Caenorhabditis elegans: one gene and its partners. The protein of the gene in region 2 interacts with the protein of the main gene of each other region in a pairwise test. Each region holds a gene or a part of one and is shown on either strand. Other genes may lie near its edges.

Region 1 (5,881 bases), on a different chromosome or scaffold from region 2:
GCTTCTTCTTCAACACCATCTTCTTCTTCTTCTCCCATATCTTCCTCTTCTTCATCCTCTCCTTCTTGCCCATCCGCACTTTCATCTTGATCAACCTTCAGTGAATCACTTATGTTCCGACGAGGAATCCTTTGTCCATTCTGAAAATTGTTCAAAAATCCAGTAGCCTCATAATGGTGTTTCTAATACCTCATCTACACCGCGCTCCTCATTCAGAAAGTCTTCGATATCGTCTTCTTCAACTTCCTGCATGTCGGGCATCACGTAGTACTGCAAAGGATTGACGTACAGATCGTCTTTGATCACTTCAGCAATCTCATCACTGTCTGGTAGTGCTGCGTACGTGAGCCATTCAAGAAACGTGTGAGCTGAATCTCCGTCTTCCGGCTTCTGGAAGAGTTACATTGCGAAAGTTTTAGAAAAAATTCGATTAAAACAATAGGGATTATAAAGATAAACTCACGAATGGCGGTTTCTTGTTCTCCTTCCACTCGATTTCGGTAATTTCGGTGCTCGGTGACTCAGATTGCAGATGATACGACTTTGTAATTACTTCGTTTGTGAAGTACTCATTCGGGTCAAATGTCATAATTATTTTGAATCCACTGCGAAGATCTTCAAATTCTTGCACTTCAAGATCTCGCAGAGCGGCTAACAAGTCCTCTTGTTCTTCCGGAATAGCAGTTGAAAGAAGATGATGATTGAGAAAAGCAGTCTGCCAGAAATTGTCGATTTTTGTTGTCAGCTTCTTTCTTTTTTCATAAATCGGAAGACGTTTCTGATTGAAAATCTGCTCGACTTTCAAAACTTCTTCGGCAGCGTTTTCACTCATCACATCTAGTTGGTGCTGAATGGCGTCTAGTTCGATTAGCTTTTCCTTCACGGGACCAGCTACTTCGGATCGGAGATTTGGGAACTCATCGGCATTTTTCATTCGCTTTGCAGCCGGCTCTTCGCTCATATTTTAACTGAAAAAATTGAAGATTAACGGCAAAGAGAGCTTGTTTAGTAGAACAACAAAAGGCAGGGCGAGTTTGTAAAGCAAGTGTTCAACAGAATAAGCGCAAACGCACTGAAAATGCGCAAATAGTGTTGACTGGCGCATATTTTGAATAGAGCCTAGACACTTTTGATTTAATCAAGTGATTGATCAAGCTTACCCACAATTAACAGTTTTATAAATATCGACAATTTATGACCTAGTCAAGAACGCGAAGCTTAAAATTTAAAAAAATAAATGTATTATTATCGGTTAAACGGTTGGGAAAAAACTAATTAACATGCATGCATATAAAGTCTTTAAAACCGTAATGTTCTCATATTGAGAACAAAGCTAACTTGAATTGCAATATTATTTTGCTTTTTCATGGTACGTACTTAGATAGTTTTCGTGTTGGAACATATAACCTGATTTTCAATAAATTTGAAAATTGAATCGATCAAAAAAATTTACTACATCCTGCAATGAGGATCAAGAAGGAAATTTCGGATAAAAATTTTAAATGAACAAAGAAACGAAAGAAAAATACGTACGGGCAGTATCGGAGCCATTGAGAAGAAAGAAAGATAGAAAAAAAGAATCACAATTATGATCCGTGGCAGGTGCAATTTATTTTGAGATTGGGGAAGGGATTAGTGAGACAGAAGGCAATCGGGAACTCGAGCGGTGAAAATTGGAATACATTCAATGATTCGATGAATTACAATATACATCACAAGATTCGATATTAATTTCGAGAATTTAAAATGGGAATGGGCGCTTTTGACGATTGGGCCAAGTTTCTATGGGACAAGAACACGTCGACTAAAACTTATTATATTCACAAATGCACGCATTATTAGTTAGTATGGGGGACACGAATATTGAAAGTGTTTAAAAATTTGACAAATGTAGAGAAGTTGTTCACCACAAATTGAGATGCTTGGTCATATTTTCGGCCAATTGATCGAATCCTGGCATTGGAGAGAATGGTCCGTTACATGACATCATTGGATCAGTTGCGACAGATTTCATCAGAAGAGATTGAGCAACAGCAGAATTTGCGAAATATGCAGCAGCGGCAGCTGCGGATGCTGCATTGAGTGACGAAGAACTGAGATCCTGAGAAGGCGTGGATCCAGCAGATGAATATCCAGAAACTCCTCCAGGAGTATTTTGCTTTCCGAGCATTCCGAACGAGCCAGCATTTGGAGCGGAACCCAAAACCATCGAATCGAGTGGACTAGCTGGCCGATGTGCCATATTCCAAGCGTCTAGAGCAAACATCGATGGATCCAATGGCCAGCGAGACGGTGGATAGGTCATCGCACCTAAAACAGAGGTCATTAATTGCAACTAGCTGCCAATTTTTACCTTCCGCGTCATGCAATTCCTTCGTTGGTAGCTCATATCTTGGACCACGAGTACTAACAGGAGTTGGTCCTAGTGGCAATTTAGCCGCTGGCTCATCTGGAGTTGATGGCCTGGCAAACATTTCTAAAGGATGCTGAATGGCAGAAAGCGGGGGAGCTGCAATGCGACCATTAGTCATGATGTGCTGCTCCATTTGATCACGAATGTCAGCCAATGCATGGCGTTGAGAAACCTGAAAATGTTTACAGTGAGCAAAAATACATGTTTTCTTCTGACTTCAAGAAGTTTATCAGCGCGAATGTATGCGTTTGGTCCATGATCGGGATGAATGAAAAGGCACCGTTTCCCGTATGGGCAGAGTCCTGTAGTCGTATATTTGTCACAGAGTTTCGTTTTATACTTATTGTTCTGCAGCGGCTCGACGCTAAAAATTGGAATTAACATAATTTGTTTGCTTCATTCTTACAATGTTGGACGAAGTTCCTCCTCTCCATGTGCAAACCGGCAGTTGTCTGCGAAAGAACAAGTCTTAGATTCGAGCCAAGCTTGGCAGATCACAGTCTTGTATGATTCTGGTTTCTGCATTCGGGCTAATCCGCGGCGTCTAGGATCAAACTGTTGAAATGGAGGTGCAACCTGGTTGTTCTGGGGAAAACTCTGAATCGCGCGAACTTGCATCGATTGAATATGTTGGTTGCTGAAATGTAGTAAATTGAAGATATTCAGGAAATTAGCCAACGCACAATGCAATATCTTCAAGCAACTGCTTTTTGATAGCAATCAAGTTAGCAGTTTGAGTAACCAAATCTCCAATCTGGGCATTCGGATTAGTTTGAGACAAGTCCTTAGCGTGATCGAGTGGTGAAACGGGCAAAGTTGGAACGCCAGCGAGGGAGCTCTCGAGATGATGCCTTTAATAACATAAAATTACTTTTTCATTTGAATTTTGTTAAACTCACTCATCGATCTTCTCGTTGTTTTCACCGTTAACGTTCATATTGATGCAGTTGAGTGGATGTGAATAGTGTAAGTAATCGGGTGCAGGGAATGCTTAACAATCAACACCGGAGATACTCGATTTCCGGAAGATGTTGCGAGCTGTAAGTTCTGAAAAAGAAAATCAAATGATCCTACTGAAAAACAAAAACACGTTACATAAAACAATACTTGAGTGCGAACAAAACAGATACGAATGGCATTTATGAGAAAATATCACATTTTGGCGCCGGTGCACAATAAAAAAGTTTAAAAAAAAGTTTTTAATATAAATATGTCAGAATTTCCGGCCGAAAAGTAATATTTGAAACAAGGAATACTCAAGAAAAGCCTGAAAAATGGTTCCTTCATATTACGCGGGGGCATAAACTACGGTCGCACTGTTTTCACGTGTGCGATTTAAAATGATGTGCGTCTTTTAGGAGTACTGTAGGCCAAAAGTTTTCACGCCTATAACTGCTTGTAGTGAACTGATATGTTATTATAATCAAACAATTTATGCACTAATTTAAGTTAAAAAAAAACATATTTATTTTTTACAATCAAAAAATTATAGCGACAAACCCGTGTGAAAAATCAGGAATCTTTAAAAAAAATGAATGGTTGAAAATATCAATTAGAAACTTCAAGTTCATCTTCGATTGAAAAGGTACAACCTTCGAACATCAATATACGTCCAAATATACGAATAGATGAAGAATATTTCAAATGCACCAAATACCAGCAATGCAACTCTGAAATTGATAAAATAGTATACCCTAGGTTTCCTTTTTTTTTCAAAATCCCACCTTAATAAAATAATATCAACAATTTTATAACTCCGATCTTGTCCATTAACCTCTTCTCTAATTTCATCAGGAACTGTGATTGTCGATCCGATTACCGCTCCTGTAATCTCTCTTTTTCCAATTAAAAACTGTCAAATTTGGTCGTCCGGTTCACAATCTCTCAATATTTGCGAAACTGATTAAAACCACACCGAAAAAAAAACTTCGCTCACCAGCATATGCAAAAAACAGAATCGTATTCAAAACCATATATGGTAGTAAAAATTTGGGTCTCGCACGGAAAACTGCCATAATAAACATTAAACTGAAGGTGAGGATCATGGTGATAAGTATGGAGCAGATTACTGAAAAATCCATATTTCTAAATAATTCAGATTAAATTTATTTAACTGTACCAATAAATTCAACATAATTCTTCGGTGTTTTTTGAATCAATCTTATTAATCCATAAACGTAAAATGCAAATAAGAAAATTGCATTGAAACTGATTCCAAATATTGCAACTGAAAACATATTTTTTAATATAAATTTTTCATCGACTCCCTTAACATTCTTGTTACCCTGTTTTTTATAAATAAATAATCCATCGAAAAAAATAGCCTTGTTATTTATTTTGTGATCAGTATTTTTAGGTTTGATAACACTTGTAAAACAAACAAAACAAAAATGTAAACAATTTTATAATGATTCTCATGTTATTTTTGTTTTCAATTTTTCTATTATTAAGAGATAAGCTTTAATGTGTCAAAAATCAAATAAAAAAGAGAGAAATAATGCCTGCCTGCCTTCACCTCGCGCGCCTTCTGTACACGCAAACGTTGTTTCTTTCATTTGTTAATTTAACTTTCATCAAATAAGATGATAAAATAAAGATAATTGTGTAAATTAACACTGTGAGAACAAAATAAGTACATAAGATATGAAAAAGTAGGCAGGCATAGGTAGGCGTGTGGGAACCTAGAAAATAATCCCACTTTCTCTCGAATTAATTAATAAAAACTTCTCAAACTAACTTTTATGAACACCAAAATATCCACAAAGCTTCGTTGGTTTAGGCGCTGTTGGCATTGAAAAATAATTTTGATCCGTTGATAATTTATCAGAAATTGTAGACATTGTGATGAAAGTGTTGGAAACTTCTGCAAATTTCAGGAATTGAATAAAAAAAATAAATAGGAGGCTACAAATCACTGTATTTGTTTCAATGATTATGATACGAACCTATTTAAGTGAATTTTTTTGAACTTTTGCGGAAAAGGGAAATGGTCTGATAATGCATATTTTTGTGGTGATAATTTTGAAGAAACTTTGATCGGTAACATTTTTTGCATAGATGAAAGTCGAAGAACAAGAACAATTCTCAATATAAATTTAAGTGGGAAATCTTTAAAGCACAGGAAACCTGGGAGCAAAAAAGTGAAGAAATGGCAATATATGCATATTTTGATAATTTCATGTATACACTATGATAGACAATTTAAATTTGAATTAGAAAAGTTCGTGACTATAGTTACTGACTTTTCTATACTGCGCTAAAGTTTCCAAGTGGACTCTCCACGATTTCGCTCTACTTTTCTGCTTCTTACTAATATAACTGATCAGAAAGTCTTTAAAAAATAATTCAAACTTGTATTCAAACTCTTTCTCGTTTTACAGATTTTTTTATAATTTTGAGACAATCAAAGGATAAAGACAAACCTTTCTTTTTAAGATCCCGTTTTGTTTTCATAATTTCAGATAGAAT
Region 2 (9,304 bases):
TTTCGGCATAATACGAGAAGAGTTAAATATATTTTCACTGGCATTTGAGATCGAGGCAGCGGAGGATTCAGTAGAAGGAAGCTGTGGGCTTGGAGCAGCCTCAACAAATCCAAATGAGTAGTCATGAATGTTCGTTGGTGCAGTTGTGCCAACAAATTCCACTCCAGGATCAGGAATAATCTGGACTGGTGCTGCACTTGGAATTGGAGATAATCCTAGTCCTGGTGCTTCACTCAATCCTATTCCAAGATCCGTCTTCAGTTGAGTGGTCCATGCTTGATTTGGTTCTGGGGTGCTTTGTACATTTTCATCGTGATGAGTCGACACATTAGGCGTCTGCTCCTCAGCCAAAACTGATGATTCACTGAAAATTAAATTTTTAATAATCTAAATACAGGGACAGAACAACTTACTTTTGGAAGAAACCATCTTCTTTCTCCGGCTGATGCGAAGTTTCTGGCTCGAAAAATACTGGCGCTGCTGCTGGCTCTTCTTTAACTGGTGCAACTGACGGAAGTGGAGGTTGTGGGGAGAGACTCCTCCTTGGCGGAGCTGCTGGTTGAGGATTCTGTGCCTGGTGCTTTCGGAGTGCTTCTTTGCGATGGGCAGCTGCTGCTACTGCAGCAAATGAGATCGGTGCCGGCGCAGAAGATGTGGGAACAGTGGCGGTGACGGATTCCTCTACTGGTGGTTGAACTTCGGTGACTGTGGTATCCACTTTAGTCTGATTCTGAAAAAAAAACACGTTTCGTCATTTTCCTTCTTCAAAAAATTCTTACCTCATCAAGATCAGCAGTGAACGCATCTGGCTCAAGTGCTGATGATGGAGCAACAGCTCGAGAATATCCACCTCTGGCGCCACCTCTTCCACCTCGTCCAACATACGGTTTTTCAAATCCTCCTCGAGTCGAGCGTGGTGCTGCTCCTTCCTTATTATCACGGTTATCCCGATTATTATCTCGGCTTTCTCTTGGAGCTCCATTGGATCGCCCGCGGCCTCCTCGATCGACGAAACCGGTGCCTCCACCTGAAAAAAACATATCAATATTTGATCTATTTCAATCAAGCACGAACCTCTGCCTCTTGCTACAAATCCTCTGTTGTTATAACTGCCCTCTTCCGGCTTCTTCTTTTCCTTTTTGGCTCCTTTCTGTTCAGTCCACGAGTCAAGTTTATCTCCAGCATCCAGAATGTGATCGATTGCGCCGTAAAGATTGTTGTCAGTATCCAATAGCGCTATCTCAGCTTGTGCTTGTGTACATCCGGTGGTTTCGATAATCTGAAAATGAAAAAGACATGAGCAGTGAAAAAACCCCTCTTGGGAATGCGCGAACACTTTAATTAGCCCAAATGAGTAGGACATCTGGGTACTCTTACTCTCGCTGCACCATCTCAAGCGCGGACACCTGCTTTTGTCCTTTTATTTGCCATCTGGCCCCGTCTTATCGATTCGAAATTCCTATTGACACTGAAAGCGGACACTAGAGAAGTTCAAAACAACAAAGTCACGTGCGTCATCATGTCGGTGTGTGGCGAGCGTTCGCGTGATGCAAAGATCACTATTTTCAGGAAAGCGTCATTTCCAGCTTGGAGACTTACCGTCTTGATCATAAACTGTATGTCCTCCTCATTTCCGGAATTTCCTTCCAGTGTGAGTCGTGCAAGTCGCGCTTGATCGCTGGTAGCTTTTTTGTCGCCTTTAATACCCATTCTGAAAACAAATTATAAATAAAAAGGGTCAGTCATGTGAACGCAAGAATGGAATGAGAATCACGAGAATACAACTATCAAAGGAAGGTTGAATGAAAGGAAGGTCAAATAGATGACAAAAGTAGGAAAAGAACGAAATATGGAACCTTCCAGATCAAAAAAACATTATCAAAAGAAAAGCCTCGCACAGAAGACTCTAACGAACATGTTAGGATGAAGAAATATTTCAGCAATACATCACGTTGAACTTTGGAGGATATTCTAGAGAAGAAAACCCCTACATTTTACAATAATTTTGAAATGGAATTCGAATGAACTGCTATACAATGGAGAATCCTATTTAGCGATGATAAAGTGTAGGCTTGTTACTAGATTGAATAAAAATTTCGAAATGTAACAATACATTGACTGAAAATTTGGGTATTTCAGAGTGTGATATCACAAAAATCAATATTTCCACTAAACTCAAAAGTTCTTACGCTGAAAAATCATTAAAAAATTGAAAAATCACCGCAAGCTAGACTAGAATCGCGTTCAAATCTCGCAAATTCCCGCAGTTGAAAATGCGGGCGACCGCGACGCGAGCCGCAACGCACCCCTCCAAACATGCGGCATGGGTCTCGCCACGACCGAAAGTACGGTCACTCTTGGCAGTATAAAAGGCGACCATTTTCCGCTATTTTCCGGTAAATTTTCAAATGAAACTGTGTTGCGGAGGGGGTTTTCCGCTAATTTTGCGGAAATTTAGCTATTTAATGTGAAAATGTGAATAAAACAAAAGAAAGTGGGGAGGAATAGCAAGGAAACACACTGTTGAACCCTGGGAATTATCGATTTTGTATGAACTCTTCTTTTATGGCGTCGAAATTATCGACACGAAAACTCAAAACCTTGTCACATTTCTGAGAGAGAAATATCATTTTCAGCACACATGAGTCTTCCCAGATTTCGACTCGTTCAGGGAAAGGCGATCGGCGAGCGATCAACGCCAGGAGTCAGCACACCAGAGCCGGTAATTGTTTTTTTTTATTTCAAAATTTCTACAACAACAAAAAGAACTAACAATAATTTATTCCTTTGATTCCAGGCCCCTCCGCAAATAAAGCAGGAAGTCGACTACCAAGATGCTCATCAAATGGCTCCGGAACCCGTGGAAGCACCCCGTAAATATTTAAAAATTTAAAAAAGTTAGAAAAAAAATTTGAATCCCAATTTTCAGAGGCTCAAAACCATCAAATGCAGCCGCCTCGTCAACCTATACAACAGCAGATGCAGCATTTTCAGTCACCATCGCCAATGGCTCCACAAGGGCCGCCCGGGACTCCACAAAACTCTGCAGCGGCGGCCGCCGCTGCTTCAGATGACAAAAACGTGACAAAATGCGTCCGCTTTCTGAAAACTTTAATTAATCTGTCGAATAACGATGATCCAGAAATGCCGGACAAGGCCGCCCGTGTCAAAGAGCTAATTCGAGTGAGGAATTGAGCGAAAAACGCGATAAAAACCGGACAAATTCGGATATTTCAGGGCGTAATTTATCTGGAAACGACGGCTGAAGAGTTTACACGAAATCTGCAACAAGTGCTCAAATCTCAGGCTCAACCGCATCTTTTACCATTCCTTCAGAATACTCTTCCGGCATTGAGGAATGCTGTTCGAAATGGTTCGGTTTTATGTGCAAAAAAATTAAAATCGACAAAAAAAAAATCATCGAAAAACAGGAAAATTTGAGTTGAAAAGCAGCGAAAAACTTGAATTTAACATAAAAAATTGCAAAAAATCCGTTGAATTACATTTTTCAAGAAATTGTGTAGAAATTCCATGAAAAAAATTCAAAATTTCCAAATTTTTTGGCTATTTCTAGTCAATTTCTTTAAAATTCCATTTTTGATAGCGAAAATTATCAAGTTTCTAACAATTTCAAGCTGTTTTTGGTGATTTTTTCAATTTTTCGGCTTTGAAATTCCATTTTCCGGAGTATATTGTCATAATATATCCGAGTTCCACAAAATTGAGCAAAAAAAATTAAAAATTTCCCTTTATTTAAAAATATTTTCAGCTGTCAGTAATATATGGATTTTCCGCAATTTTTCTCACAATTTTGAGCAAATTCCTGATTTTCAGCCAATTTATAAGGATTTTCACCCATTTTCATAATTTAGGGCTATTTTCAGCTGAAAAATTGTAATTTAAAGTTTTTAAAATTTTTATAGATTTTCTCAAATTTCAGCTCAAAAATTCGATTTTCAAGCGCATTTCCAGGCAATTTATTAAGATTTTCACCAATTTTTTTAGCTTAAAATTTAAAATTTCCACATTTTTTGTCTATTTCCAGTAAATTTCTTTAAAATTCTATTTTTGAAAGCAAAAATTATCAAGTTTATCGCACTTTTTCAATTTTTCCGGAGTATATTTTGGTAATTTATCCGAGTTCCACGAAATTGAGCAAAACAATTATTTAAAAACTTCCCTTTATTTAGAGCTATTTCCGCAAATTTTCTCGCAATTTTCACGCAATTTTCATAATTCAGGGCTATTTTCAGCTGAAAAATTGCAATTTAAAGTTTTTAAAATGTTTATAGATTTTCTCAACATTCAGCTCAAAAATTCGATTTTGAGGCGCATTTCCAGGCAATTTATGAGGATTTTTACCTATTTTCTAGATTAAAAATCTTTTTTTTTCCTCAATTTTGGACTATTTTCCCTAATTTTCAAATTTCCAGGCACTGCATCAGTTGAAGGCGTAAATCCACCGCCTGGCTACGTTTTCAACAATGGAAGAACCCCAGGACCCCCTCAGCCACCTCCACCTCAACAACAATCCCAGCAGCAGCCACCACTAGAAATGCGTCAAATTCCGAATCCGAATCAAATACCCCCACAAATGGTTCAAGGGGGTCCCCATATGGTATCTGTAGGCGCCCGGCCAATGATCAGGCCTATGGGCCCCGGCGGCCCAAGCCCAATGGGCCTACAAGGCCCCGTACGAGGGCCGATGGGACATCAGATGGTCCAGATGCATCCTCCTCCCCCACCACAGCAGATTCAACAGCAGCACCCGGCTCCCCCTGTAGAAATGGAGGTGGAAGAGAATTTACAGCCTACCGCGGCGGCCACGGCCACGAGGCAATATCCTGAAGGATCGCTGAAATCGTCGATTCTGAAGCCGGATGAGGTGCTGAATAGGATCACGAAACGAATGATGTCATCGTGTTCGGTGGAAGAGGAGGCGCTTGTCGCGATTTCAGATGCTGTTGAGTCGCATTTAAGGGAACTTATTACACTGATGGCCGGAGTTGCAGAACATCGGGTGGAGAGTTTGAGGTATTGAGGAGAATTGATTTTGCTTCAAAATACGGCAGCGAAAAAAAAATTAAGCAAAAATAAGGAAATTATTGAAGAAAAATCGTCTTAAAAACAATTTTACATTAAAAAAAAAGATTTTTAAATTTCAAAGGTTCCGAACTATTTATTAAAAAAACATCTAGATTTTGTTTTAAAATCCAAACAAAAAACATTGCTGAAACGCGGTAATTTTTTTTCAAAAAAATATAAAAATCTGAGAAATATTTTCAAAAATATCTCCAATTTTCCCCTGATTCCGAATATCTATTCGAAAAAATTCAAAAAAAAAATTTCCCTTTATATTTCAGCTTGAAATCGCTTTGTGCATGCACACCATGAGATTTTTCAAATGCGCGCCCAGATAAATTCTCATTGGGGCGCACTTGCTTCGTGTCGATTTACGGGAGCTCTTCATTTTTAAATTTCTTTTAAGCTTTTTTTTTCAGTTTTTCAACGAGTTTCCTTGATCTTCGTCGATTTTTTGTCATTTTTTTTCCTGAAATTTTGTTTTGTGTCAATTTGAAAATTTTTTAGGTCAAAACTCCTGTGTTCGTCGAGATCTGACGTAAAAATATAAAATTCCGGGAGTTTTGAGATATAAAAAAAATATTTTAAAAATTTCAGAAAAAAAACTGACAAAAAAGCGACAAAATAAAAGAAACGCGCAAAAAAAAAAAAAAAAAACTTAAAAAAGCACGAATAAATTTTTTTAAAAAATGGAGAGCTGCCGTAAATCGACACGAAGCAAGCATAAAAAAATGGCTTTTTTCCTAACAATTTTTTGTGAAAAATCCGAATTTTCCATCCTAAACACTACAAAAGATTCCAGAATTCCGGAGAACTACGTGGCAATTGATGACGTCAAACGGCAACTTCGATTCCTTGAAGATTTGGATCGTCAAGAGGAAGAATTAAGGGAAAGTCGAGAAAAAGAGTCGCTAATTCGAATGAGCAAGAATAAGAATAGTGGAAAAGAGACGATTGAAAAAGCGAAAGAAATGCAACGACAAGATGCTGAAGCGAAAAGGAATCGAGATGCGAATGCGGCTGCAATTGCAGCACTTTCCAGTAATAAAACTGTCAAGAATAAGTTCGTTTTTAGCGTGAAATTTGCAGAAAAATTATTTTTAAAAAATAGATTTAAAAAAAACAATTTCCTGACCAAGGGTGTCATTTTTCGATTTTTCGGTTTTCAAAAATTCGAAAAATGAAAGTTTCGTTTTTCGATTAAAAAACTGAAAAACCGACACCTTTGTTTCTGAGATTTGGATTTAGAAATAAGCAAAAAAAAATTATTCAGAAAAAATTGTTTTACAATGCTGCAAAATCGATGAAAAAATAAAATAAATCAATAACTAATTTCTAAAAAATGGAAAAAAATTTCGTTTTTTTCGAATTTGTATTTCACAAAAAAAAATTTTTAGAATAAAAATTTTCAATTAAAAAATTACTATTTAAAATCACTGAAAAAAAATGAAAAAAATAGAAAATTCAGAAAAATAGCGAAAAAAAAGTTTTTTTCCAGAAATTTCGTTAAAACGATCAAGATTTTAACCCTAAAATTTAGATAAAATCAATTTCTTGTGGTTCTTAATTTAAAAAAAAAAACAGTACTTTCCAGTAATAAAACTTTCAAGAATAAATTCGTTTTTAGTGCGAAATTCGCAAAAAAAATTACGAAAAAGTGAAAATAGAAGCTGAAAGGAAAAATGTTTAAAAAATAAGAATATTTTCGACATTAATTGGTTTTTATATATATTTTTTTGTAGAAGTTTAAAAAAATTACTAAAATCACTGAAAAAATTGAAAAAAATTTTAAAATCTGGAAAAAAAGCAACAAAAAATTAATTTTTCCAGAAATTTCGTTGAACTATTCGGTATTTTAAGCCTAAAATCAAGATACAATCAATTTGAACAAAATTTGCTTTAAAAATACTAAAAATTCGAAAGAAATAGAAAAAAAAAGAAATTTTCGAAATTTGGATTTATTGTTAGAGAAAAGCTGAACACTTACAAAAAATTAATTTTTTACGTTTTGAGAAAAATTTTTGAAAAAAAAAATCGATTTTTAAATAATTTTTAGAATTTTTTAGAACTATAATTTTTGAATTTCAGTGACTTATAATCACAGAAAAAAATGAACGAAAAACAAATGAACATCTTTTCGGCAAAAAAACGTATTTTAAAAAAAAATTTAAATTTCTAGTGACTTTGAAAAAAAAACCACATTTTCCAATAATTTCCAGGAATAAACTAAATTTCTTTGGAGAAATTTGAAATTTATTTCACATTTCGAAAAAATTTATATAGAAATAAAAATTTATATGAAAATAAAAAATTTGCAGCTCCTTCCAGTAATGAAACTGTCATTTGTTGAAAATTAGTTTTTTTTTAATTTAGAAATTCTCTTTTCGAAAAAAAAGGTTTTTTTAAAACTTGATTAAAAATTAATTCATTTTTTTCCAAAATTAGGGAAAAAATAATTTCTAAAAAATTAGACAAATACACTTTTTTGTTGAAAAAAACAACATTTTCCAATAATTTTCTTTTTTTTTAAATTGCTTCCACTAAATTCACTTTTTGAAGAAATTTTTTGAAATTTTTACTGAAAATTGTTGGAAAATTATTAAATGTGCATTTTTTTGCAATTTCCAGTTGATAAACTAATTTCGGTTCAATTTAAAATAAATTTCGAAAACCAATTTCAAAAAATTCATTTTTTACAATTTGTTTTTGTTGATAAAACGAGCTAGTTTCTACCAAAATACCGCTTTTTTACATTGAAAATTTAAATTTCAGATGGGAAAACACGGGCGCCGCAACGACAGCACCTCGTCCACGAACAGTACGTGTAACAACTCGTGATCTACATCTTTTAGTCAATCAGGATAGCCGATTCACAGGGTAGCGATTTTTTTTGTTTAAAAAATTTTTTTAAAAAACACCGTATTAAACATTGATTTTTATTGGAAAAAACTGATTTAAAAATTTTTCAAAAAACTTTCAAACGAATGGTAGTTTTTAATATTTTAATTTTAAAAAATTCCAATAAAAATCAATTTTTATACGATTTAAAAAAATTTTGAAAAGTTATCCAATTTTCTCCTAAAAAAACTCATTTTTTTTCCAGAACATTCATCCGTGAAAAGATGTCATACGGTGGTCCGGCAGTCGATACAACTATCTGAACTAAAGAAATCTCATGGAAAAAGGAGCGAAAATTCTGCTTTTCTCGTTTTCTTTTTTTAAATTTAATTTTATTTTTCCACAAATTAAAACAATCACTTTTTTCCAGTCAAATAATAATTATTTCTCATTTTTAAACGAAATGCTAGACATAAAAAAAAGCTTCTTTTTCAGCTTTTCAGCCAAAAATTTCAGATTTTTCAGAAAAAATTCAACAACAAAAAATTGGCAAAGTGCAAAAAAACCAGAATTAGATATTAAAAATACAGGAAAAATCGAGAAAAATGAGTTACAATTCAGAAAATTAGGCAATTTTTTTTTCAAAATTTCTCAAAAACACTGAAATTTCGGTATTTTTTTCTCTACTTGAGCACAACCTCGTGTTGCACCAATCGAACATAGTCTTTGAGCGTCGGTGGAAGTGGAAGCTCATCGATTATTCGCTGATAGACACCGTCGGCACCGGCGATTTCCAGATTTCTACGTTGGCGAAGGTGGATGGCGCGCTGGAAAAATTTCTAATTTCGAGCTGAAAACTCTTTTATGAAAGCAAAATTTCATAGTTTCAATTCAAAGTTCGAATTCCTCGCAAAATTTCAGTCGGAAAACCGAAAACTAGAAGTTTCTTGCTCGAATTTGAAATTTCGAGGGGTACGGTATCCTCGAAAGTACGCAAACACCGAATTTTGTTTTTTTGAAGTTTTGGCGCCAAAAATACAATACCCGGGGTCTCGACACGACAAATTTTTAAAATTTTTTTGAGTACTGTAATTTCAAACAAAAAGTTTTTTTTCGAATAAACTCGAATAATACGATAAAAAACATATTTTAATAAAAACCGTGGCAACGAAAGTTTGAAAGTACAGTACTCTCTTCAAAGGCGCACACCTTTTACGCATTTAACTTTCGTGGCGAGACCCCGGGGATACCGTAATTTTTGACTCAAAATTTAAACAATAAATCCGTTAAAATATTAAAAAATTTTTAGATATTTTTCAAAAAGACTGTCGAAAAATTGTTTTTTTATAATTTTTAGAATATTAACAAACAGTTTAAAAATTCC
Region 3 (5,439 bases), on a different chromosome or scaffold from region 2:
TACTGGAGACCAAACATGTTTTCCGTGGAACTTTGAATATCTATCATCTTCTGGATGAACTGCTACGGCCACATCCGCGAACAAAGTTTCTGGGCGAGTTGTTCCAACTTCAATGAATTCAGATTCAGAATCTACCAGATTGTATCTAATTACATGCATTTGACCGAACTTCACTCTTCTCCGTGTTCCACTTGACGACGATAAATTGATGTAACCATCAGATGGAACATCAATTCGATTTACTTCTTGACTCGATAATGTAGATGATAGTGTTGGACACCAATGAACTAATCGTTTGCCACGTGTAATCAAATCTTCTTGCTCAAGAATGCAAAAAGCTTTTGTGACGGCTTCGGAAAATTTTGAATCGAGAGTATAATATGATTGAGTCCAGTCGAGAGAAGCTCCCATTCGAGTCAATTGCTGTCGAATTTCAGATGAGCATTTTTCACCCCACAAATGGCATTCTTTCACAAACTCTTCGCGTGTCATCTCAAGTCGTCGCTTTCCATTTTTTGCCAATATTTTTTCCACGACTACTTGTGTGGCGATTCCTGCGTGATCAAATCCAGGAATCCATTCGGCCTGAAAACATAAAAATAAGCATCTTAATTTTTCGTGAAATTTTACTTTATTTCCCTGATTTCTCTGGTGTCGACAAATAGCATCTTCCACTGCAACTGTTAGAGCATGTCCCAAATGCAGTTTACCAGTTACGTTTGGCGGGGGTAAAACCATACGAAATAGACTGCCTGAAAAATATTTTTTTGCCTAGAACTATTATCAAGGAAATCTGACCATTCTTTCGATAATTTGCAGCGGCAAACTCTGTTCTTTGTTCAAAATTTTGTGTTACCTCGTCGATGTTAAAGGAGCTGAAAAAATTAGTTATTTTATTTTCTTAGTTTATCGTTTACCTACTACTTTCACGTGTAATAATTGTCGGTGAGTAAGCACATTGCCTTCTTGAACGATGAAAAAGTGCTAATCGATTCAATTTACCCATTTATTTCACCTGAAACCACAAACAATAATTTAAAAGAAAGAATGCGCTCAATCTGTTGAAAAATTAACGCTCGTCTGGACGAAGCAAATGCGCCCTGTCGCGAAACTAATTGGAGGGAAGATTAAAAAATATTTTTTTGTCAAACGAAACATTTCAGAAATTATTTTGCAATTCTATAATTGAAAATCAGATATCTTCGTGAAAAAACGTTATTTCCAGATGGTCTTCAAAAACATTGATTGACATTCGATAAAGTTTATTGATTGTTAGTGTGGGGAGAGGATACGAGCAATTTATATTTGGAGGGAATTGAAAATACATGCAATGATATCCGATATAATAAAATGCAGCAAAATAATTCAAGTTTAGTTTCAGAGCCTGCGAGAGATGGGGGGAGCGAGCGTGCTTTCTATATGACAGGAACATTGAGCTTATTATATTTACAAATTGCGCGCGTTATTATAGTTAGTATGGGACATAAAAACGTATGGCAATTTGACAAAATGTATAAATAGATGGGGAAGGAGGTGGTTATTCACCACAATTCAAGGTGCTTGGCAATGTCCATGGCAAGTTGATCAAGTCCAGGAATTGGAAGAGTTGTCTCGTTTCCAATCATCGGATTGTTGATAGACTTCAGAAGAATAGACTGAGCAGACTCCGAGTTGGCTTGGCAGGCAGCATCTGCAGCAGCAGAAGCAGCTGTGAGTGGAGACGAATCACTATCTTGAGACGGAGTTGATCCAGAGGAAGAATATCCCGAAACTCCTCCCGGTGTTGATTGTTTTCCAAGCATAGAGTATTGCATGTTCCCGGCTGCTCCAATAAGCATAGACTCAAACGGACTGATTGGACGAGTTGCCATATTCAGACTATCCAATGCGAAGAAAGTTGATGGATCCAACGGCCAGCTTGATGGTGGGCGATTCCCGGCTTCTGTAAAATTATTTTGAATTAATCATCAATATTCAATTTTCATACCCTCAGTCTCAAGTGGCTTCTTCGATGGCAACTCGTATCGTGGTCCACGAATGCTAACTGGGGTTGGACCCAATGGCATATTTGCTGCTGGCTCATCTGGTGTGCATGGCCTTGCAAACATATCAAATTGTTGAGGGCCGGCTGTAGAACGACCTCCATTCATGATATGATGCTCCATTTGATCGCGAAGGTCGGCCAAAGCATGACGTTGCGAAACCTGTTGAAGATTTGATTAAAGTGGAAAATTAAAAAGTTATCTTACCTCGAACAATTTATCGGCTCGAATGTATGCATTTGGTCCATTGTCCGGATGAATGAAAAGACAGCGTTTTCCATATGGGCACAACCCAGTAGTAGTGTACTTATCGCAGAGCTTCGTCCGGTACTTATTGTTTTGACGTGCCTCGATCCTGTAAAATATGTTGTGTAATCTTAATTCAATGTTCAAACCAACAGAGATGGACGAAGCTCCTCTTCGCCGTGAGCAAAACGACAGTTCTCCGCGAAAGCACATGTCTTCGACTCCAACCAAGCCTGACATATGACAGTCTTGTACGATTCCGGTTTTTGCATTCGGTGACGGCGTCTTGGATCAGCATGATATTGCAGTGGGAGAATAGCTTCCTGTGGAAGATTTTGAAGAGCTCTCATTTGCATCGAATGAATATGCTCGTTTCTGAGAAGATAAAATTTAAGAAACAGTCCATTTATCCTATAGAATTACTCAGCAATCTCCTTGAGAAGCTGCTCCTTGACAGCCATCAGGTTAGCGGTCTCGGAAAGCAAATCGTCGATATGAGAAATCGGTTTTTGCTGTTCTTCCGGAACAGTCTCCATCATATCGGGATGCGATGGTTCAACACTCGACTCTGTACGAGCCCTTAAAAAAGAAAATTAAAATTGAGAAACTATGATAAAAGTGGCTCACTCATTATTCTGGATAACATTTTCCTTGAGCATATCCATTATTTCGTTAGTAGTGCAGGGGAAATGGGTGGTTAGTGATTAGGCGTGGGGTGCTCGGTTAATTGATTCCCTGAAATTTAAAGAAATTTTAAAAATGGTAAGATTCCGCGAGCAATGAATAACAACCGTCTAAAGAATGAAAGAAATAAGTTTTTAACGAGAAAAAACGAATGCGCCAAAACGGTATAAAATTATTGTTTTAAGCGACGTAATTCAGAAATAAGCTCTTTTAAAATTCAAATAAACGGGCCAAAATCCTTCTGAATGAAATAAATGAATGAACAGAACCAAATGTTGTTGAACAAAAGAAAACTGAAGAAAACCATCTCTGTCCCAAAATTTCGAAACAAAAAGTCAATGTTTGGCGGCAATGCGCGCTAAATAAGATCAAATAATTATTTTTTAATACTTAAGTTTAGAATTAAGTCTGAAATTTATGGTTGAATCAAAGTCAAAAAACTTGCAAGAAAATGTTGCCAATTTTCACCAATGACTACGGTCACACTCGTTTGAGATGTGCACTCCCCGCTGCTGCGCCTTTAAAGGTTACTGTAACTAATAATTTTTTTTTAGCAAGCATGGAAATTGTGTAATTGTCTGAAAAAGTAACTCATAAACAGCGAATAACTAGATTTTCTCGACTAAAAAATTTTCAACAACACTGTCTGACCAAAATCTAGCTGTAAAAGAACATTACTTTGCAAATATACTTGCTGGAAGGTATTCGAATTTTTATTCAATATTTACATGTATATTTGATTTATTGTAAGTTCATTGTATTCCTATTAAAATCACTTGTGCATTCCATAATTTGACGCCTGGGAATAAACATTTTGGTCGAAAACTAGCGGTGTTCCATTGGACTCAACAACATCCATCAACTTTGACTTTTTTGCTTTTTCCAAGAAGAAACTGTTTGTTGTGTCGATGAACTTGCATGGACGCATTCCATTTCTAAAATATTATCATTTTTCCACAGTCCTTTGTCAAAAAATCACTCACTCAATAGCCATTTTAGCAGCTCCAATCTCCAACTTCTCTCCAAGATTTTTACCACGATGCCCCTAAAAACAGATTTGAAAATATTCAATTTGAAAATAGTAAAACTCACATCAAAGACATGCAAATGAGCAAGTGCTCCGTGAGTTTCTGAAGAAATGAATCCAACAAGTTCGTCGCCTTTACGAACGCAGAGCGATGGGAACCGTCGAAGTTTTTCTCTGAAAAAAATTCCTATTTTTCCATGTAACTGTTGTTTTACGATTTCTCGATTTTGTGAGAAAATGATATAAATCTAGTACTGTTGGTTTTTAATTTCCTGATCCAAAAACTCACTCTACTAATTTTGCATTTGGTGTGATAGATGATCCTACAATCTTCATAACATCATTTGTTGATTCAGGTATATCAATTGAGTATCCATCAGGTAATGTTGTATCACCATAATTTCTATATTTGAAAATTTGACTTTCATTCATTGCAAAAAAGTGTGTTGATTTGTTTTGCACCTCTGCATTAATATTGTTTTTCTTCATGTACTTTTCAATCTAAAATCAAACGTTTCTTATCTATTAACCTTTGTTCTGTTTTCATTGTGTATTACCGCTTTAGTGTAACATTTCTCGGCTACAGTTGATGGAGCATTGGAGCCAGCAAACAATCCATTTGTTTTACAGAATTCATCAAAAACCGCCAGAAAGTCTTCTTCTCGAAACTTTCCATCGTGTGTCAGAATTTGACGGTCTCTGAAAAGGTGCGAAGGTCAATTTCGAATTGAAAAAAAGAGATAGCAAAAGGTGGGAAAAGGTCTTTAGTGATACTGAAAAATGTTTTTGAAAATGAAGAAAAACTGGTTTAGGAATGGATTGTCATGGAAATGTTTGATCTTATCAAATATTACGGTCGAATCGGAAAAACATGAGTGAAGATACGGAAAAATGTAGTCAGCCATGGACATTTAAAACGGAATTCACTTTTTTTTCAAAGTGAACAAAGTTTAGGGTCGCGTGTACCTACTTATAAAGTAATTGTCCCATGTATTGAAAGTTCATGTTTTTGTAGTTTGAAACGGGAGGAAATGGCAAAGTTGTTGGCAAGTCAAATACATTCTCTACATTGAAAATTTCAAGTTGCTTTCTAACCTTACTTATCTAGGTTTATGCGGGCATATATACAAACTTCGTACAGTAACTCGTTCGTTTTCGAAAATTTTTGGGTTTTGGTAAAAAGAATTTAAATTTTGTAGAAATTTTATATATCTACAGTATTCTTCTCCCTATTTTCCTCGAATTTTCAGTTTAAGTTGGTTAGCGGTACGTTAGAAACCAAGTAAACCAATACACATTCCGCAAAAAAAAAGTAACTCGTCTGAATATTTTAATTTGAAAAATAGTTTTTATCTAGGCAGGCGGTAAGCCTGTTTTATAGGCACCTATATTTGTATCAAAATAAATGGAACACATTTGAATTTGGATTACCTGTTCAGT
Region 4 (8,987 bases), on a different chromosome or scaffold from region 2:
GAAATTTACCAAATCTGAAGTGTTGGAGGTATTACTCAAGGACTTGAAACCTTTTAAAAACCAAAAAAATGAAGAAAAAAAATTTGTCATAAAAAGAGGAAATTCATCGTGGAAGACCCGGAGAAAAGGAGGTTTTTGAATGGAAAATTAAAATTAAAACAAAAAAAAATTAATTTTTAAAGTTTCTTGATTTGTTTCTTGAGTAGAGCAACCCGTTGCTTGTGTGCTTCCGTTGGAACAAACTTTTCCTTCGATAAATCAATAACTTCCGTTTGAGACCCAAAATTGTGCGAAGCAGCGCGTGGAACCTGAAATTTAACAATTTTTTCTGATTTTTTAGATTAAAAATCGAGCCAAAACACCTAATTTTAGCTGAAAAACTCGAATTTTGTCTCACATTTTTTGCACATTTTTTGAACATTTTTTGTACATTTTTTGCACATTTTTTGAACATTTTTTGCACATTTTTTGAACATTTTTTGAACATTTTTTGTACATTTTTTGCACATTTTTTGAACATTTTTTGCACATTTTTTGCACATTTTTTGCGCATTTTTTGCACATTTTTTGCACATTTTTTTGCATATTTATTGCACATTTTTGCACAGTTATTGCACATTTTTGCACATTTTTTTGCATATTTTTGATAAATCCATATATCCTAACACTTTTTTTTTCTTCTTTTTCCGATTTTACAAGGTTTTTCGGAGAAAAAAAAATTTCTAATGAATATTTCAATATTTTCTAGACATTTTTTCTCTGAAAAACACTAAAAATCGAAAAAAAAACCCGATTTTCTGTATTTTTCAGGTAAAATTTTTAATACTGGAGAATCGAAAAACGGTAAAAAAGTAGATATTTCAGCTAAAATTAAGCGTTTTTTTTTTACGAAATCCGGTTTTTTAAAGCTATTTTGTGATGAAAATTTTTATCAACAAAAAAAAGAAGATTTTTTTTCCAAAAAAATAGTCAAAAATTAGAGATTTTAGCTAAAACTAGGCGTTTTTTTCTAATTTTTTTTTCACGAAATCCGTATTTTCTAGACCATTTTAAATATCAAAAAAAAACATAAAAATCAGTAATAAAAACGCCGTACCACTGGCATATTATAGACATTCTTGAGAATAAATTCGATATCCCGTGATTCAATTTTCTTCACCTCCCGATTCTTGATCATTTTGCATGCTTTATCGATTAGAGAACTGACAAAATCGTCGGCGTACTCCACAAGAACATCTTTTACATTTTCTTCGAGTACTGTTGTTGAGCTGATTTGTTGCATCAAATCATCCAGTTTTGACTGAAAAAAAAATTTTAAAAAAAAGAAGATTTTTTAAAATAAGAATTTTCGGTTTTTTCAGTGAAAATCAAAAAATCGGAAAAAAAAATTTTATAGAGTTTTTGAAAAAAAAAAACTACGAAAATTTTAGGCTATTTTTTTTTTTTTTTTTATTAATTGTTATAATTTTCGATTTTTTTGTTTGAAAATCTTGAAAATCGAAAATTTAAAATTTTTTAATTAGAAAATTAAACAAAAACTCTTAATTTTACAAGAATTTTTACAAGAAAAATTACCAAAAATTTAGGCATTTTTTTCAGTGAAAATTTAAAAATCGAATTTTTAATAGCAAATTTACAAAAAATTCCATTTTTAATTTCATTATTTTTTCAGGAGCAAAGCAAAAACTAGTGTATGCAGAAGTTCGAATTTTTTTCAAAGTTCAAAAAAAAATTTAAAAATTGTATTGAAAAATTGGAAATTTTCGTTTTTCGTTTAAAAAAAATCGAATTTTCAATAAATTCCGGCCATTTTTCAATACTTTATAGAAAAAAAAAATCACTTTTTTCAATAAAAATCAGCATATTTTTTGATAAATCTATAGCTTTTTCGTCCCCTTCCGTGAATTCTTTGTGCATTTTTTTTCCTATTTTCTCTGAAAAAAAAGACCGAAAAATCTGAAATTTGCTCATTTTCTATGAAAAGACAATCCAAAAAATTTTTTTTTTGCGAATTTTTGCTAGAGAAATTTGTAATTGAAAAAAAAACTAAAAAATCAGAAAATTTTTTAAATTTTCCTGAAAAAACCTGAATTTTTTTCGATTTTCTTTGAAAAAAAATCGGAAAATCTGAGCTTTATTCGATTTTTTCTGAAAAAATTTCAAAATTAAATAAAAATCAATTTTCCAAGTATTTTTGCCGGTTTTTTTGCCGAAATTTCCAAGTATTTTTGCCGGTTTTTTTGCCTAAATTTCCAAGTATTTTTGCCGGCTTTTTTGCCGAAATTTCCAAGTATTTTTGCCGATTTTTTTGCCGGAATTTCCAAGTATTTTTGCCGGTTTTTTTGCCGAAATTTCCAAGTATTTTTGCCGGTTTTTTTGCCTAAATTTCCAAGTATTTTTGCCGGTTTTTTTGCCGAAATTTCCAAGTATTTTTGCCGGTTTTTTTGCCGAAATTTCCAAGTATTTTTGCCGGTTTTTTTGCCTAAATTTCCAAGTATTTTTGCCGGTTTTTTTGCCGAAATTTCCAAGTATTTTTGCCGGTTTTTTTGCCTAAATTTCCAAGTATTTTTGCCGAAATTTTCAAGTATTTTTGCCGGTTTTTTTGCCGAAATTTCTAAGTATTTTTGCCGGTTTTTTGTTGCACCTTTTCCATAATACTTCCATACGGAACAGCGGCCGGTATCATTTGAGGTGGCGGTGCCTGTTGCTGTTGTGGCTGTGGAATTGGAGGCTGTTGAATTTGTTGAGATGGTGGTGGCTGCTGATGTTGCTGCTGATGTTGTACTTGCATAATTTGTTGAGGAGGCAGCGGCATTGGAGACGAGTTTGGCTGGAAATTTTGAAAAATTTTGCCCAAAACTAATGGTTTTTATAGTTTTTCCATTAAATCGGGCTCTTTTTGAGCTCCAAAAAATATTACGCCACGACAAATTTGGCGAATTTGCCGGTTTTTTACGAGCTCGATCGGTAAACGTTGCCTTTTTAGTTCCGGCAATTTGCCGATATGCCGGAAATTTTAATTCCGGCAATTTGCGGGAAAATTGAATTCCGACATTTTGCCGATTTTGTCGGAAATTTCAATTCCGGCAATTTGCCGATTTGCCGGAAATTTTAATTTCAGCAAATTGTCGATTTTGTCGGAAATTTCAATTCCGGCAATTTGCCGATTTTGTCGGAAATTTCAATTCCGGAAATTTGCCGATTTGCCGGAAATTTTAATTCCGGCAATTTACCGGTTTTGCCGGAAATTTCAATTCCGGCAATTTGCCGATTTGCCGGAAATTTCAATTCCGGCAATTTGCCGATTTTGCCGGAAACTCACCACAAATTGTGGTGGTCCACCACCTCCTTGCTGCTGCATCATATGTTGTGGCGGAGGCCCTCCGACCATTCCCATTAAATGTCCAGATGGTCCTGGCTGGAAACATTTTAAAATTAGAGGATTTTTAAGCGGATTTCCAAAAATAACTGCAGAAAAAGTCTTAAAAATGCCCAAAATATGCGAAAAAAAAATTTTTTTTTTGAAGAAATTATACAAGCCTTGAAATTTTCACCGCTGCTCCGCTGCTCCACTGCAGAAATTGTTTTGTAACATTTTTTAGAACAATTTTTCAGAGATTTTTGATCCCGTGGACCCAAATTCCCGAAAAAAGGTTTTTCTTGGGTCTCAAACGGAAGCTTTTTTTAAATTCAAATTTCCCAGATAATAACCGCCCCCGTACCCCTTGAGCCATGCCCATCTGCATTGGTCTCTGTTGCATTTGCATTGATTGCCCATTCGGTGTGAATTGTTGGGGCTGCTGCTGTTGTGGAATACCCATTTGTTGAAAGTGTTGCTGCTGCTGCTGCTGTGGTGGTGGAGGGCCCGCACGCATTTGTGGTGATGGGTATGGCATTTGGCGGACTAAAATTACGAATTATTTCATGAGAAGCCTTATTAAAGAGACGGTGTAGTCACCGAAAATATGAAGATTTTCGCTAGAATTAGGCGATTTTCGGAAATTCAGCATAATTGGAACATCGTCCAATCAGCGTACCGCTCCGCCCACTTCTGGACCAATCAGACGGAGTGGGCGGGGTTTGAAGATGCTGATTGGTAGGAAAATACTCGAAAATTGGTAAATTAAATATTTTAAAAAAGCGATTTTTAAAATGGAATTCTTTGAATTTTTTAAAAGCGATATCTACATTTACCCAAAGCCGCCTTAAATTACACCTAAATTAACGAAAAACGTGAAATAAATATGCAAATTAGGATGAAAATTGAATAAAAATCAATTTCTAGCCACCCTGGCACCGAAAAAATGGAGATTTTAGGCGATTTTCGGAATGTCTGGTAGATCATGGTGTGATCTGCAAAAAATGCGGGAATTTTTGGCCCAAAAAATGTGACGTCAGCACGTTCTTAACCATGCAAAATCAGTTGAGAACTCTGCCGCATTTTTTGTAGATCAACGTAGATCAAGCCGAAATGAGACACTCTGACACAATGTGTGGTTAGGAAATTTGAAAATTCAGCAAAATTAAAACAGCGACCAATCAGCGACCGGCTCCGCCCACTTTTGGACCAATCAGACGGAGTGGGCGGAGAGCTAATTTTAGTAAAATTTGAAAATCACGATTTTTTTTCCGTTTTTTTTGTGGTTTTTCTGAATTTGAAACTATTTTTTTTGGATATTTTTAAAGGTGGTGTAGTCGAATGTTTTTATTTGCTTTATTAGACTCAAAATTGTCTGAAAACACCGAATTTCATAGTGAAACTGTTTGAAAACTTCTCAAAAAATAAGTTATGACGGTTCAAAAAATGACCTAAAATTAGTTAAAATTTGAAATTTTACCGACTAGCCAAGCGTCTGGAAACAATTTTTCGAAATCACCGTCAAATTTTAAGTATACAATTTAATTATCTTGCGTTTTCAACTTCATTTAAGTATTTTAAAGTCGATGGACGGCGAGATTTGGTTTTAAAAAATTTAAAAATCTCGTCGTCCATCGATTTTTAAATACCTTAATCAAATTTAAAACACAAGGTAATTAACTTATATACTCAAAATTTGACGGTGATTTCAAAAAAAAATGTTTCCAGCCGCTGCGACATTGATAAGTTGGTCAAATTTCAAACTTTAACTAATTTTAGGTCATTTTTTGAGCCGTCATAACTTATTTTTTGAGAAGTTTTCAAAAAGTTTCACTATGAAATTCGGTGTTTTCAGACAATTTTGAGTCTAATAAAGCAAATAAAAACATTCGACTACACCACCTTTAAAAATATCCAAAAAATAGTTTCAAATTCAGAAAAACCACAAAAAAAAACGGAAAAAAATCGTTAAAAAAATTTAAAAATCTCGCCGTCCATTGATTTTTAAATACCTAAATCAAGTTGAAAATGCAAGAAATGCACTAATTTTAGGCCATTTTTTGAGCCATCATAACTTTTTCCTGAAAAGTTTTCAAGAAGTTTCATTATTAAATTCGATGTTTTCAGACAATTTTGAGTCTAATACAGCAATAAAAAAAAAATTCAACTACACTCTCTTTAAAAATATCCAAAAATACATTAAAATTCAGAAAAACCACAAAAAAAAAAACGGAGAAAATCGCGATTACAAACTCCGCCCACTCCGTCTGATTAGTCCAAAAGTGGGCGGAGCCGGTCGCTGATTGGTCGCTGTTCCAATTTTGCTGAATTTCCGAATTTCCTAACCACACATTGTGTCAGAGTGTCTCATTTCGGCTTGATCTACGTTGATCTACAAAAAATGCGGCAGAGTTCTCAACTGATTTTGCATGGTTAAGAACATGCTGACGTCACATTTTTTTGGGCCAAAAATTCCCGCATTTTTTGTAGATCACACCATGATCTACCAGACATTCCGAAAATCGCCTAATTCTAGCGAAAATCTCCATTTTTTCGGTGCCAGGGTGGCTAGAAATTGATTTTTATTCAATTTTCATCCTAATTTGCATATTTATTTCACGTTTTTCGTTAATTTAGGTGTAATTTAAGGCGGCTTTGTGTAAATGTAGATATCGCTTTTAAAAAATTCAAAGAATTCCATTTTAAAAATCGCTTTTTTTAAATATTTAATTTACCAATTTTCGAGTATTTTCCTACCAATCAGCATCTTCAAACTCCGCCCAATCTACCTGATTGGTCGAAAAGTGGGCGGAGCGAATCGCTGATTGCTCAGGCATTTCTCATTTTGGAGGTAATTCGAAAAATCATGTTTTTCGAGTTAACTTTTTCACTTTTTCGCGATTTTTTTCTTTTTTCTTCGGAAAAAACGTAAAATAGCCGACTAAAATAGGCGGAATAGGACAAAATTGGAGATTTCAGCTAAATTTTGAGCAATTTTTTTTTCATTTTTCACGGAATTATTTCTGAATTTGAGGCATTTTTTAGGAGTTTTTTCTTCATACTTTGCTGCTGTGGCATCTGCATTCTCATCGGGCCGCCCATTCCACCCATCGGCGGTTGGCCCACAAACTGCTGCTGCTGCTGCTGTTCGTTGGGATTCTGATGGCCTTGTGGCGGAATTCCCTGCTGCATTGGCTGAAAATGTGGGTGATAGACGTGATATCCATGATGGTAGGGCCACATTTTTTAGTATTAGTAAATATATATATATATATGGACAGAGGACGACGAGAAGCTTTTGTGATGGAAATGGTTTTGTCGGGGGAAGAAGAGAAGCACAATCGATATGAGAATAATACACATACACTTTGGACGTTTACGGGGGAAAAAAAACGGAGAGGCGCTCCGATTTTTTATTATTTTTATTCGTTTTTTTTGTTTTTTTTTTGTCGGCTGGCCGGTGAGTCATTGTTGGGACAGAAAGCAATAATTAGAGAGCGGACACACAAATCGCTTACAGAATTCGTGGAGAGAGCGGCGGCGATTTGCGGGTTCGCCTGCACGATTACGTGATTATTCGGTGAAGTTGGAGGTGAGAATTCTTCCATTTTCATTTTTTATCTGCAACTAAGTTTTTTTTTGATGATTTTAAAGCTTAAAATCTTTCGGAAAACCGAGGAAAATGGAAATATATTCATAAAAATGAATAAATTCGTTAAATTCGATAAATTTTCCACAGTACCTCGGTCGTTGTGAGACCCAATGTTAAACAAAAGCATTGCGCCTTTAAAGTTATACGGTGAAACTTTTCAAGCAATTTCTATTTTTTTCCGAATTTTTAGTTGCTAATTATTATTTTTGATTAAATATTACGAGAAAAATTTTAATTTTGAAGAATTTCTTCAAATAAAGTTTAAAAAACCGAGGAAAAGTCAAAATTAATAACTGAAACTCGGTTCGCTGTGAGACCCAAACTTAAAAATAGCAATGCGCCTTTAAACTTATACGGTTGTATTTTTAGGCAATTTAAAGTGAATTTATGTTTTTTCCAGAATTATAGTTGCTAGCTATTATTAATTTTAAAACCGAGTGAAAATTTTAACTTTGAGAATTTTCTTTTAAAAAAAACCAAGGAAAAATCAAAATTAATGACTGAAACTCGGTTCGCTGTGAGACCCAAAGTTAAACAACAGCAATGCGCCTTTAAAGTGATACGGTGGCGATTTTCAAGCAATTTAAAATCAAATTGAATTTATTGGAAAAAATCAATGAAAAAGACCTAAACTAATAAATATTCAAAGTTTTATTCTCGAATTGCACATAATATTATGCGCCGAAACCTCGTAAAATTAGGCAGATTCTGATATAAGGGAAAAACGATCCGAAAAATGTAGGACATTGGGGGAATAGAGACGTAGGGGGTGGTGGCGAGAAATTGAGGCCAATGAAGAGAACGAGAGACCTCTCTAGCTCTTTTCCGTCTCTTCTCGCAACTATCTCTCTCTCTCTCTCACTAGTGTGGTTTATTAGAACCTAAATGAGCGTGGCCGTGGGAAAACCTAGGCCACGCCGTTGCGAGGAAGTGCAAGTAAACAGAAAAAAGACGACGGCGGACGTCTTATAAAAACAAACATGTCACATTTTGTTGTCCACTCTGTCATTATTTTGCGAAAGAATTGGGATCGAATTGGGAAGTACATTTTTGGGTCTCGCCGCGATTGTTTTCTTTAATTGAATATAACTGTACCATGTGATCACTGGAAATGGAAAAACATATTTTATCTAACATTGGTTGAGGAAAAGGCAATAAAAACAATTAAAATATCGAGTTATTACAGTACACCGAGGTTTAAAGGCGCATGAGGGTTTTGAAAAGTCAAAGTAAAACTGGATATTAGCGTAAAATTTTGTTCGGTCATAATCGAGTATATTCGTAAAGTTAAAAAAAAATTTGGGTGTTTGGTTTTAAAATAATGTTTTTTTGAAAATTGAGTTTTTACTAAATTTCAGCTAAAGAAAAACTTGAATTTTAGTCGAATTTTGAACGGTGGGTAATAATTTTTTGTGTTTATATTATTATTCAGACATCAGTAAGTAAATTGGTAAAGTTTGAAAAAAATTTGGGTGTTTGGTTTCGAAGAAAATAATTTTTTGAAAATTTGAATTTTTATTCATTTTCAGCTAAACTAAAACTGAAATTTCAGACAAATTTCGAACGGTGGGTATTAATTTTTTGTGTTTATATTATTATTCAAAGATCAATTAGTATATTGGTGAAGTTTTAAAAAATTTGTGTGATTGGTTTTGAATAAAATAATTTTTTTGAAAATTGGAATACATATTAATTGGGAGCTAAACTAAAACTGGAATTTCAGTCAGATTTTGAACGGTGGGTATTAATTTTTTGTGCTTATATTATTATTCAGACATCGGTTAGTATAATCGGTTAGTAGATTGGTAGTTAAAAAAAATTTGGGTGTTTGGTTTTGAAGAAAATAATTTTTTGAAATTTGTAATATGTTCATCGGCAATGGCTGGTGGCCTAGAATTTCCCAATTAGGCCATCAAATCTGAAATTAAAAAAGCACATATTCAGCTGTAAAATAATTTATTCAACGTGTTTTTCTTC

The links.
Region 1: the proteins of taf-4 (region 2) and oma-1 interact in binary tests that used the Caenorhabditis elegans proteins (3 or more experiments, as listed by UniProt).
Region 3: the proteins of taf-4 (region 2) and oma-2 interact in a two-hybrid assay, tested with the Caenorhabditis elegans proteins (one study listed by BioGRID).
Region 4: the proteins of taf-4 (region 2) and taf-12 interact in a two-hybrid assay, tested with the Caenorhabditis elegans proteins (one study listed by BioGRID).

The regions. Positions count from the first base shown.
Region 1 is NC_003282.8:8,886,555-8,892,435, reverse strand, and holds oma-1 (CCCH-type zinc finger protein oma-1), read right to left. Parts: upstream 3,461-5,881; 5' UTR 3,351-3,460; coding exon 3,313-3,350; intron 3,265-3,312; coding exon 3,097-3,264; intron 3,051-3,096; coding exon 2,820-3,050; intron 2,778-2,819; coding exon 2,630-2,777; intron 2,586-2,629; coding exon 2,354-2,585; intron 2,311-2,353; coding exon 1,904-2,310; 3' UTR 1,437-1,903; downstream 1-1,436. Other genes in the region: spr-2 (Suppressor of presenilin-2), read right to left, coding at 1-140, 190-390, 464-961; C09G9.5 (MARVEL domain-containing protein), read right to left, coding at 3,981-4,083, 4,138-4,237, 4,350-4,481, 4,533-4,640, 5,151-5,276, 5,836-5,866. UniProt on the Caenorhabditis elegans protein: Zinc-finger RNA-binding protein that binds to 5'-UA[AU]-3' motifs in the 3'-UTR of maternal mRNAs to suppress translation in oocytes and embryos.
Region 2 is NC_003279.8:380,192-389,495, forward strand, and holds taf-4 (Transcription initiation factor TFIID subunit 4), read left to right. Parts: upstream 1-2,634; 5' UTR 2,635-2,641; coding exon 2,642-2,722; intron 2,723-2,797; coding exon 2,798-2,873; intron 2,874-2,929; coding exon 2,930-3,183; intron 3,184-3,237; coding exon 3,238-3,373; intron 3,374-4,433; coding exon 4,434-5,034; intron 5,035-5,884; coding exon 5,885-6,145; intron 6,146-7,854; coding exon 7,855-7,959; intron 7,960-8,185; coding exon 8,186-8,243; 3' UTR 8,244-8,373; downstream 8,374-9,304. Other genes in the region: Prion-like (glutamine/asparagine-rich) domain bearing protein pqn-59, read right to left, coding at 1-364, 414-730, 780-1,027, 1,075-1,279, 1,600-1,710; R119.5 (Protein-L-isoaspartate O-methyltransferase domain-containing protein 1), read right to left, coding at 8,604-8,747. UniProt on the Caenorhabditis elegans protein: The TFIID basal transcription factor complex plays a major role in the initiation of RNA polymerase II (Pol II)-dependent transcription.
Region 3 is NC_003283.11:8,027,023-8,032,461, reverse strand, and holds oma-2 (CCCH-type zinc finger protein oma-2), read right to left. Parts: upstream 3,024-5,439; 5' UTR 2,954-3,023; coding exon 2,916-2,953; intron 2,868-2,915; coding exon 2,712-2,867; intron 2,664-2,711; coding exon 2,442-2,663; intron 2,398-2,441; coding exon 2,250-2,397; intron 2,205-2,249; coding exon 1,988-2,204; intron 1,943-1,987; coding exon 1,542-1,942; 3' UTR 1,248-1,541; downstream 1-1,247. Other genes in the region: vars-1 (valine--tRNA ligase), read right to left, coding at 1-585, 631-752, 799-875, 918-1,006; F43H9.4 (Glycine N-acyltransferase-like protein), read right to left, coding at 3,745-3,907, 3,956-4,017, 4,065-4,173, 4,289-4,500, 4,557-4,698. UniProt on the Caenorhabditis elegans protein: Zinc-finger RNA-binding protein that binds to 5'-UA[AU]-3' motifs in the 3'-UTR of maternal mRNAs to suppress translation in oocytes and embryos.
Region 4 is NC_003281.10:11,862,303-11,871,289, forward strand, and holds taf-12 (Transcription initiation factor TFIID subunit 12), read right to left. Parts: upstream 6,980-8,987; 5' UTR 6,973-6,979; coding exon 6,877-6,972; intron 6,554-6,876; coding exon 6,421-6,553; intron 3,905-6,420; coding exon 3,723-3,904; intron 3,419-3,722; coding exon 3,323-3,418; intron 2,831-3,322; coding exon 2,645-2,830; intron 1,301-2,644; coding exon 1,097-1,300; intron 309-1,096; coding exon 177-308; 3' UTR 91-176; downstream 1-90. UniProt on the Caenorhabditis elegans protein: Part of the general transcription factor complex TFIID. Plays a role in recruiting taf-4 to the nucleus and thereby activating transcription initiation by RNA polymerase II, as part of the TFIID complex.